Linked DNA regions of Mus musculus. The protein of the gene in region 1 interacts with the protein of each later gene in a pairwise test. Links are inferred from orthologs where the notes say so. Each region holds a gene or a part of one and is shown in the gene's direction. Other genes may lie near its edges.

What was found.
Region 2: the proteins of Arl15 (region 1) and Unc119 interact in binary tests that used the Homo sapiens proteins (3 or more experiments, as listed by UniProt). The link is inferred for Mus musculus from reciprocal best matches to the Homo sapiens genes ARL15 and UNC119.

Annotation. Positions count from the first base shown.
Region 1 is NC_000079.6:113,964,618-113,969,846, forward strand, and holds part of Arl15 (ADP-ribosylation factor-like protein 15), read left to right. Parts: intron 1-2,964; coding exon 2,965-3,173; intron 3,174-5,229.
Region 2 is NC_000077.6:78,340,898-78,346,779, forward strand, and holds the start of Unc119 (protein unc-119 homolog A), read left to right. Parts: upstream 1-2,597; 5' UTR 2,598-2,669; coding exon 2,670-2,889; intron 2,890-4,686; exon of another isoform or gene 4,687-4,785; intron 4,786-5,812; exon of another isoform or gene 5,813-5,837; coding exon of another isoform or gene 5,838-5,862; intron 5,863-5,882. Other genes in the region: Pigs (GPI transamidase component PIG-S), read left to right, coding at 328-538, 837-1,112. UniProt on the Homo sapiens protein: Involved in synaptic functions in photoreceptor cells, the signal transduction in immune cells as a Src family kinase activator, endosome recycling, the uptake of bacteria and endocytosis, protein trafficking in sensory neurons and as lipid-binding chaperone with specificity for a diverse subset of myristoylated proteins.

The DNA of each region.
Region 1 (5,229 bases):
TCTGTTCCTAGCAGCCACTTGGTGGCTGAAAACCTTCTCAATTCCAATTCCAGGAGAAGTGATGCCCTCCCTGGCCTCTGCCGGCACTATACCCATATGGTGCACAGAGAGTACACTCATACACATAAAGTAAAAACAAGTACGTCTTTATCTTAAAAAGTCATCAGGTTGCCTTTGAGTGAGCTAGGCCACCAGCAGGCATGGAAGAAGTAGTTATTGGTGAGTTGCATCCACTGGTTTTCTGGGGTTCCAAAATCAATGAAAGCATTCTGTGCGATGCTCATCGGCTTCGTGGAATCGACAGTAGAACAAACACTTGCATTGCTACGTGAAAGTTGTGTGTCTCCCATTTTTCTGTTAGTAAAATTCGTAGTAAATTTTGGTACACGCACACACGGTCCTTTGTTATTTCTAAATAGTCATCACTGGATGAGTCGGCTGTCACTTCTGTCCTGCAGACTTCTGGATGGGTTTCTAGCATATGGATAGTGTCTGGATTTAGCGTGTAGCAGATGCTGTCAGTATCATACACAGATCTCCTTCCCTGGGCCAGTGCATCCGTCTCCCAGCTGCTGTGCTATTGGCTGCTAATGACTCACACCTGTACCCTTCTCCAGAGGACCACTCTTGGCTGACAGAAACTGCCCCAGCCAGATATGTTGGGAAATCTGGTCCCAGCCCCCTCCAAGTACCTAGGGGCGGCTCGCAGCCAGTAACTATACAGAGATTTCCTGGCCTTGGGACTGGACGTCTTACATGATTCGGTCCAGACTCTAAGAGCTCCATGGAGGATCAAGCTGGGGGTGAGATCTCTGGCGTCAGATCTTCACCATGATTCTGCCCCCAACTAGTTTACTGCTCTCACTTCTGACTTCTCTTGACAGTATTCTTTCTATAATGATGCGTGCAAGCAGGGCTTTTGCCGGCTCTGCTTCTATGGAACATCACCTTAGGTGTGGCTAACCTCTGTAGCTCTCTTGTTCTATTGGTTCTCCAATTACTGAAGCAATCGATTTCACATGTCAAATAATCCAGGGTTGAAATTTCTTTGCTCTTTTATCTTTTATTTGTTTCCTTGGTTCCATCCTTTCTAATGGGTATCAACACTGTTCTCATTCCTCCTGTTTGCTTATTTATGGTCATTTTTCAACTCCCCTTAATGCTTTTATGTATCTAGGCTCTTCAGTGTACTGTAATGGTGAGTTATCTTACATTTTAGGATCTGAAAATTAGTTTCAGAACCTAAGTCAGTTAAACATGCAGCCCTTAGTTACTGGAAGAATTGTATGGTCTATTCTCAACCCTCAGCATGCTGCCAGGAATATAGTAAATAATCAATAAATGTTTGCTGCCTTGTCACACGTATTAATTTTTAATTTATTTGACTTGCTCTAAAGGGGACACTTCAGTGGTGGTATTTTAATACGGTGTCATCAGCACCTCTAGATTTCCTGCTTCTCCCTGAGAATAGGAGCTGCCCAGTTTTATCCAGTGGTGTGTTGGCTTGATAAGGAGAATAGGCTTGATGCACTTCTGCCAGCGGTGTTCTCCCGCCATGGCTCATTTTGAGCTGCTAATACGACATCACTGAACATGGAGTTGGGAGCAAATAGATATGAATGGCCTTTGCGAGCCAGCGTACTCTAACTCTAGTCCCAAATTTGAGCTGTCTGGGTCTCTAACATTTATCACATTATGTCACACATGGGAGCCAAATGTTCAATATGTGATTAAAAACCAGAGTTATTAACTGATTGGAATTGGCTCAAGTGGTGCAGATTAGTAAATTACTTATCTAATTCTTGTTATATAACCAACTACATCCCTTTTGTTTACCACAGATGCACACACACACACACACACACACACACACACACACACACTGGCCCTTCCTGGGCAAATTCAATTCAGAATTGAATTATTAAAACAATTCAATCAGAAATACCAAGAGCCATTAGACGGTTCTTCCTGACTTTCCTCCTAAGCACCGTGTCTCACCGACGCCATGAGTATGTGCATTGTCTTTGCTTTGCCTCATGAGTAGTAAACCCAAGTAGATTTATACAGGTACATGAAAGGCCAAGATTTTAGTGGTTCACAAATTTCAGTATTTAGTCATAAAAAGTTATTATGCTAATAACCCTGTTCATGGAGTTAAACAAGGCCGCTCAGCTCTGTCCAGTGTCTGCTGCTACAACAAAGTACAGACTGGGCAATTTCTAACGAAAAGAAATTTACTGTAGGTCTGGAGGCTGGAATGTCCCAGGTTGAAGCTCTGTGTCTGGTGAGGGTCACAGTGCATCTTAATGTGGCAGCTGACATCACTGCTCAGAGACACTAAGCAGGAAAGTGTGGTTGTCTGTTTCTCCTTTCATAAAGTCATATCCCATCATGGCGCCCTTACCTTGTATCACTAACTCTGACTATCTCCATAGGTCCCAGCTCCAAATGCCATCAACGTAAAATCAAAAGATTAAGTTCCTGTCATGTGAACACTTGGTGAATATTTCAAGTGTTGCCTTATTCTGTTATAAGTTACCACCAAGCGTGTAGCACTGGTATACCAAGGTGGTGAATGTCTGGGTCAATTTGCTGTCTGAGATGGGATGTCACTCAGTTTGGGAAGAGTGTAGTTCATTTGGGATTGATAAACAAAGTCTAAAACATTCTTTCGACTTTAATGATTTAAAAGAGTTTTCCTGGTCATTTCCTCCCTGTTTTGCTATAAAGCATGAAGATCAGTGTAAACATGTGTGCTATGTATGCTTCCTGGCTGCAGTCTATGGACTATGATGCCTTCATCTTATCTACACGACCTGCATCTTTTAGATTCCTGGTCTATACCACAGACTTCAGCCCTCAGTTTCTGAAAAGATACATTGGTTCCCAGTAGAAATTGTTATTGCTGTGTTTCTAAGTTGATGAGTTCTACTTTTAAAATGGAAATGCATTTCGTTTCGACAGGAGCTGACAATATCCGGAAATACTGGAGCCGCTACTACCAAGGATCTCAAGGGGTCATATTCGTATTAGACAGTGCCTCTTCAGAGGATGACTTAGAAACTGCTAGGAACGAACTGCACTCCGCTCTCCAGCACCCACAGCTATGCACTTTACCCTTTTTGATATTGGCCAATCATCAAGACAAGCCAGCAGCTCGCTCAGTACAAGAGGTATGCACGACTCTTAAATGCCGTAAGTCTGTCCACTGTCGAACTATGGCCGCCGCTGTCAAGTCTAGGAAGACTGTAGACCTATGAGTGTGCTGGGTGTGCTGTTTTTGCTTCAGAACCATCATTCTCCTGGGAAGGGGGAAGCCCATTATGAGACCAGTGAAAAAGCACATTTATATACCTAAGGTTGCTTGAAAAACAAATTCTTTTTTAACCGGAAGATAGCCCTGGGTGTTCCCCCATTTCTTTTGAGGGGGTAAAGGTCTGGCTAACTTAACATTTTCATTTAACCTTTGGCTTGTGTCCTTCGCCACTAGCTTTCAGAAGGTTACACTGTGGCTTTGGTAGCCATCACTCAGCCTCAAGTACCGTGTTCTTGTTCCTCTGAAATACTTGCTGTTGCTGCAAGCCTGGTGTCTTATCTCGCAAGTTCCATGCCCCCCAAAATATTTCAACATGGAGTCACTGTTTCCTTCCCAGTGCATTTCTTTGCTTGTTTCTCTCCTATGAAAGTGGGAGGCTATTCTGGGTAAACAGTGTCCCTCTGAGCCAAGTTTTTGATTTCTGGCACTAAAAAATAATACGATGTAAGTAGCATGTAACTCGAACCGCCACTGTTGAGTTCCTTTGCACCTGCACTTTGTAGAGTGTATTTTTTACCATCTCCTTCAGAAAACTGCAATGCCCTGAGTGGTTTAAGATTAAAGTGATTACAAGGAATAACATTGCCGTTCAGTCTGAAAAAGCAGATAAGGAATGAAGAGTACAGTGTGATTTAGCTCCAAGCCTTGCTCACACTTAGCCAAGAGCCATGGCTAGTAGCTTTGTTCGTATGCCCGGCTTCCCACCTACTTATTCTAAGTGCAGAGGATTAATTTGAATGATTTATTCTCATTTCACAGTATTAATACATGGAAGAGTGCCCATGTATAGATACTTCTTACTTGTTTAAAACAACAACAAAAAAAGTGAACCATTATGATTTATTACTCAGCCCACAGAGCTGTCTGTGGTTGCCTCTGTTTGTCTTCAAGACTCACTACCCTTTCACTTTATAGATTCTGGAAAATATATTTGGTAGTAATTAAAGAAAAGTAGCAGTTTGGTCATGGTGGCGCACGCCTTTAATCCCAGCACTTAGGAGGCAGAGGCAGGCAAATCTCTGATTTCAGGGCCAGCCTGGTCTACAGAGCAAGTTCTAGGGCAGCCAGGGTTACACAGAGAAACCCGGTCTTGAAAAACCGTCTCCCATGCCCCCTCCCAAAAAACAAAGAAAAAAAAATAGCCATTTATGTTATTACCATTCCGCTGTCCCGCTGTGCAGTTGCGAGGCCTCCTGGATCTGCTGTTAGCATCCTGGTCCTCTGGCTTGCTTCGCAACATCAGACCTTCTATCTGTGGAAGGAATATGAGAGAATGTCACAGCGCGTCCTTAACCAGTGGCGTGTCTCTTTACGTTGGTGCTTGACTCTAAAGTATGCTGTCATTCTCACAGGCAGTATGTGTTCCTGTAAATATAAGTATCCATGTATTAAACGTGTGTATGATATGTTAGAATGATGTTAGATGTAGTCGCTGACAGGATGTCTTCGGGCTTTTTAAAGAAATATTTTCTTAGATATCAGATGTAACTAAGACAAAGTTTTTGAAAGATGTATTTTCATCATTTTCAGTTGTGGCGGGGAGGGTATGTGAATGTGAGTATAGATGCCCTCGGAGGTGACAGGCATCCATCCGATCCCCTGAGAACTGAACTTGCATCCTCAAGAAGAGCACTCAACACTGGGCCCTGTCTCCAGTCCCAACACAAACACTATTTAAACCTAATACCTGATTCCCAGTCTCCTCTGTAGGAATTAAAGATTCACATCGAAGGGAGGAAGCTTCTAGCAGTTAGTTGGTTCTGAGTATCTTTTGTGTGTGTGTTAACCGACTATGTCTCCTTTACAAAAGAAGAAGGAGAAGAAGCAGCCTAACTATCCCTTTTTGATTCACTAACTGATGTCTGTCAATATGGAAAATTCACATTGCGTGCAAATGATTCCAAGCCTGTATG
Region 2 (5,882 bases), on another chromosome or scaffold:
GTGTATTCTGATGATTAGCAGTACCTTCAAGCACACACACCTTGTCAAAGGGGAACTATCATGCCAGTTCCACGGAGCCCATTTGCTCAAAGAAAGGATGCAGAGAGGGGACTAAACTAAGTTGGGGCTCCCAGAAACACTTCAACCACAGCTCCTTCTTCAGAGATCTTGGAACTCCAGCATGAAAATGGGGAAGCCTTGGTCAAGGCGGGTTTTGGACCTGCGTCATTTGCTGCTCATCTCTCTGCTCCCTCACTCCCCACCCCCACTCAGTAAAACTGAGAACACCTGTCTGCAGCGACCTTGGTCTTCCTGTGCCCCCCACAGGCTGCTCTTTGGAATTGCTCAGCCCCAGGTGCCTCCCAAATGCCTGCTCTCAGGACCAAAGAGTGAAGGACTCATGACCTGGGAGCTGGACCGATTGCTCTGGGCTCGCTCCGTGGAGAACCTGGCCACGGCCACCACCACCCTCACCTCCCTGGCCCAGCTTCTGGGGAAGATCAGCAACATTGTCATCAAGGATGATGTGGCTTCTGAGGTAAATGTGCCAGGAAGGGGTGGGCCAGGGTGTGTGGGGGCATGCCATCCTTAAATAAATATCTCAGGCTTCCTCTGGAAGCCATTCCAGCTCCTAGTGGGAGTCTAGGTGGGGACAAATGAAAGTTTCAAGCTGCCCCTCAGAAAATAAACAACAGCTGTGTCTTGTTTTGTTTTTTAAACTAACTTCCACACACCTCTGTGGACTCTAGGAAACTTCAGAGGGTACTAAAAGGCCAGGCCCTTCTCCCTGCCCCACGTCTAGGACATACTGCTAACCCCATCCCTCACCCTCCTAGGTATATAGGGCTGTGGCTGCCGTCCAGAAGGCAGCAAAGGCCTTAGCCCTTGGGCACCTGTCGTCCGCCTTTGCTGCCAGCCAGGAAGCCGTGACCTCCTCCGAGCGCGCCTTTTTTGACCCCTCCCTCCTCCACCTCTTGTATTTCCCCGACGACCAGAAGTTTGCTATCTACATTCCCCTCTTCCTGCCCATGGCTGTGCCCATCCTCCTGTCCCTGGTTAAGATCTTTCAGGAAACTCGCAAGTCCTGGAAAAAGCCTGAGAAGATAGACTGATCCGGGCAGCATGTCAGAGGGAGCCCTCCTCTCTAGCCACGCTGGGAGGGTGTTGGGCCAAGAGACCAAGGCAAGGTCTGCTGGTGATGACATGTCTTCACTCTCGCCCGTGGGCTCTCTACGGATGGCACTCCACGATGGGCTCCCTTCCCCTCCTAGTCCACTGGCTTGCTCCTCCATGCCTACAAGCCTCAGAAGGTACCCTTCCTGATCTCCATATCTGGCTCGAACTTGAAAGCCTTTGTGTGCCTACCTCTGGACAGGGGTACTTTGTCCTTGCAGCCTGTCAGCACAGCATACAAACGCACTGAGAGGTGAATTTAGGGGAGTACTTGAGTTGAATTGTAGCCCTGTCCTCTCCACTTCTGAGACCACCTCCCTCCTTCCTCAGCTTCTTGACTGGCGTCACCCACTGGGGACAGCCTGGTCTAGGAGGCAGTGGCTTAGGATCTTCTACCTTGTGGCTAAGGTTCCCCTCTACCCTTTCAGAGAGGTAGTGTGGAACAGGAGAAAACATTTCTGACTTGGAACCCAACAGGCCTGAATCAGACTCCGGCTTCTGCACTTAACAGACTAGAGAGCATCAGCTAAGCCGCTCCTCGCTCCTCACCTGAGCCTCAGGTTTCCATTGGTGGGAAAGCACTGATGATGTCACCCTCAGAAAGGGGCTGGATTAAATGTGATAAGCCTGTAAAAGTGTTCTGTATATTGGGCTCTTTAAAAACATACATTAGACTGTTATTAAACGTTGGTTGAATATGAGTTGATATGGATGACCATAACTCGTTCTTGTGTGAGAAGCAGACTGACCTGTTCTAGCTCACCATGTGTTCTTCCTGCCTCCCGTCCTGAGCATCCTGGGGACGGCTCGACACCTGGGCTGTGCTGCCTGCATGTTGTAGGGTGCCTGCGGATTGTAGGGTGCCTGAAGCAGCTTTTAGCAGGAGTTCTAGTGGGGAGTAGCTTGAGCCAGTGACAGCCCTGGGATAGCAACTCAATTCAACAAAGGAAAATACTGGGTGGGTACTGGCTGCAAGGAGCTGTGTGGTAGTGCTAGGGTGTTACGAGGAACAGTGTATAGAGCATCTCTGCTTTCATAGAGCTGACCTTTGAGGAGGAAGGGTCAGGGAACAAGCAAGAATTTCACTTAATGTATTACAAAAAAAAAAGGGCTGGTTAGCTGGAAATTGAGAAGAAGTACTTTAGAACTGGGTGGGTTGAGACCTGGGCTGAAGTCAGGACAAAGGTATCAGGGAAAGACCTTGAGGTTGGAACCCAGGAGAGAAAGAGGAGAGGTATTCGGTAACTACATTGTCAAAAAGAATCTACATTGTCAAAAAGTTCACAAGGACCCCCAGGATTCTGGCTCCCCCGCTGGAGACGCCAGGCGGTGGGCGGGGTATGTGTGACCCGCCTCCCGTGGGCGTGACCAAGGCGGGACGGCACCTGGGGCCCGGCCGGGGGTGGGGCGGCGGACGCTCCCCCTTCCCCTGGCTCCAGCCGGCGCAAGCAGCGGCGGCGGTGGCAGCGGGCGAGGATCTGCGGCCCCGCGAGGCCATGAAGGTGAAGAAAGGCGGCGGCGGGACCGGGTCGGGGGCGGAGCCCGTTCCAGGGGCCTCGAACCGGAGCGCGGAGCCCACGCGGGAGCCTGGGGCGGAAGCTGAGTCCGGGTCCGAGTCGGAGCCGGAGCCAGGCCCGGGGCCCAGGCTGGGGCCGCTGCAGGGCAAGCAGCCCATCGGGCCGGAGGATGTGCTGGGGCTGCAGCGGATCACGGGTGGTGAGCACCGGCGAGGGAGCGCCACCCGCGGGCTGGAGGGAGAGCGCGGGAGGGGGCCCACGAGGCTCAGAGTCCAGCCCCCACCCCTCCCCCACGCAGTGCCCCTCCTCTGTATCCCCTTACTCTCTCTCTCTTTGCCTCCAAGCCTGAAATCTCTGTGCTCTTTCCCTTGGTCTCTTGATGCGCCCCCTCCTCTCCTTGAAGTGGCTTCTTTTCACCCCACTCCTTCTTTTTCAAGGGGCCCACCCCTTTTCCCATGGTGGAGGTGGGGCAGCAGCTGCATCTGTAACCCTTTCCCCAGTGGAGTCTTCGGAACCCTTTGAGGGTGCTCGCACAGAGGAGTGTGCCTCATTGCAGGCTGTCTTCAGTGGCCACATCAGGCTAGGTGGAGGCAAGGAAAACCTTCAGGCTCCCTGACCGACCGTTATAGCCCTCACTCTGCTTCCCCGAGGAAGGCTGAGGCCATACTCTGCCCAGGAACATTGCTGATACGGGTGCTTCCGTCTGTTGGCTGTGGGCCCTGTGATGGAAGCAAGTGCGTGACCCCCCTCCCCCCAAGTCAGGACTTGTTCTTTTTCCAGGGCTCTCTCATCAAGGGAAGGCTAGTCTCCACTGAAACTGAGTTTCTGAGCTGTGCTACCTGGATTAGAGTCCCAGAGTTTGCCCGGAAATTGGCTGTGTGACCTTGGGGATGTAATTTCATTTGCAGGAGCATGTTTGCTTTTTTTTTTTTTTTTTTTTTTTTTTCCCATCTGTAAAATGGGAACAAGAACAATGTTACCTCCCTCAAGGTTATTGTGAAAAATAAAGCCAGTCTTCTGATTTTGGACAATGTTTGGCATGCTGTGCACGCTGTCAACAGGGTTCCTTTATCAACAGTGTTGGAAGCTACATAGGACTGTTCAGAGTGGCTGCCTGCAGGCAGATAAGTGATCGTTCAGGGCCAAGGCAGGCACCGCTACAGACAGTGCACAAGGACTAGAGAGTCTTCTGGCAAAAGGTTGGCTGAGCCTTGAGGAATGGAAGGTATTTGGAGAGACAGTGGCGGGTTGCCTTGGAATGGGTAGGTCACCAGCAACCTGCTCCGGCTCCACTTGTGAGCTTAGACTTCCCTTCTCTGGGATGGACACGGGTGCTAGTGTGGAAATAAACCCGCTAGCCTCAGGAGCAGCAGAGCCCAGGGCTCCCAGACAGCTGTGGAGGGGACCAGGATGACAGGCCTGAGCTTGTGCATCTGGGTCCCCAGGGGCCTCCCTCCTCCTTCCAGGGCTAGACAGCGGCATTCTTGGCTAGACTTCCCCAGCACTTGCTTCCTTGGCCAGGCAGCCCTCAGTGGAGGGAGGGGCCTTGACCAGGCTGATGTGGAAGCCCGTGGGCTGCTGCCTTTTGCAACAGGAGACCTTACAGCTTAGCTTGGCCCTGTGCGTTGGAGGGCAGGTTCACTGGCCTCTGGCCTGGATAACTGGAGGCTTATTTTGCAATGGAGGAAGCTTCCAGGTGAAGTCACAGCATGTGTCTCCCAGTCTGGAGGAAATGGCATAGCATGTGGAGGATGAGTTAAGACAAGTGCCTCTTTAAGAGCCCTTTTCTGTGCAGGATTTGAAAACAGGGTTCCAGGCCTCTCCACCTTGCCTGCATCTTGTGACCCTAATCACACAGGGCTGAGGTTTGCTGTTTCTGGATTACCAGGCCTTGAATCCAGATTAGGAAGCTATTTCTGTCCACAAGGACGAGAGCAGGTGGGTTCTGAGCCACTCTGCTCATTACTCTGGCCTGACCTTGGGTCCTAGGCCTCGTCTTTTTCTTGGCTGAGGAGAGGAAGTGGCTGCCTTCCTAGGCAGCCCCTGATCCTCGCTCCTTGTAAGGGCAGAGAGGCCCACAAGTTGAGTTTGCAGTGTAAGAGACTGAGTGCAGAGTGTGAGAAATCCTTCCCAGTGAGAGGAGAGGGTTCCAGGCTGGGCCTGCTGTAAGAAAGGAGGCTTTTCCTGGGAGTTGGGCAACTAGGCCTCTGCTTCCAGTTCTGCCCCCCCTTCTCCCTCTGCCCTGCAGCATCTTTCTATAGCTTTATCTCAGACCTCAGCTCCAACGAGCTAGAGAGCTGTCAGGAGGGCTTCCTGGAGGGGGCTGTCCCCGGCTTGGGGAGGAGACAGGCCGAAGGATGAGAGAATAGCTTTATATTCACTTCCTTTTTCAACCACAGAGGGATAGGGGGTGGCCCAGGGACCTGGGGGTGACTTCCGGGCCTCTGTAGGTCAGCGGAGAGGATGTGGTACCGGAGGCTGGCAGTACCCAAGTCTCCACAGCAATTTTCTGCCCCTTCCTAATTCTTGCCAGGGCCTCCCCTAAGACTTGGTGTAAGGTTTTAGGAAGCAGGAAGATCGGGAGTTCAAGGCCAGCATCTGCCACATAGTGAATTTGAGGTTAGCCTAGGCTACATGGAACCCTGACTTAAAAACAGCAACAGAAGAGTGGTAACGGTTAAGACCATGAGCGCCCCTGGGCAATGCTTGGCTCTCTTGGTTTCCTTCTGAGCCCAGGACTCTTCTTGCCTCCTCTTTACCCTGCTGTACCTGCTGTGTCCACCACACCCTTTCTGCCTTGGCCTCTGTTCTTTTCTCTAAAGACCAGAAAACACTTTTATTCCTGAATATGGCGCAGGGCCAAAGCTGGAAATATGACCTCTAAGGGTTCCCTCTATTTGCTAAGACTTCCTCCCATTGGGAGATCAGCAGAGGATCTGTTGAGCAAAGTCGGCCCCTTCTGTCCCAGTAGCCTGGGCTTCCTGGCTTGAGTTAGCAGAGCTCCCATAAGCTGCTTAAGAGAGCTGGGCTAGCATAAGCTGCTTACGGTGGGAGGAGGGGCCAGGGGCAAGAGAACAGGGAAGGGGTACCAACCTGCCCCCATACAGTCCATGCAAAGAGAAGTCCTCTCAAGACCAGCCTTGCCTGATGAATGTAGATGTCATGCCACAGGGTGTGTGTGGTGGGAGTGGG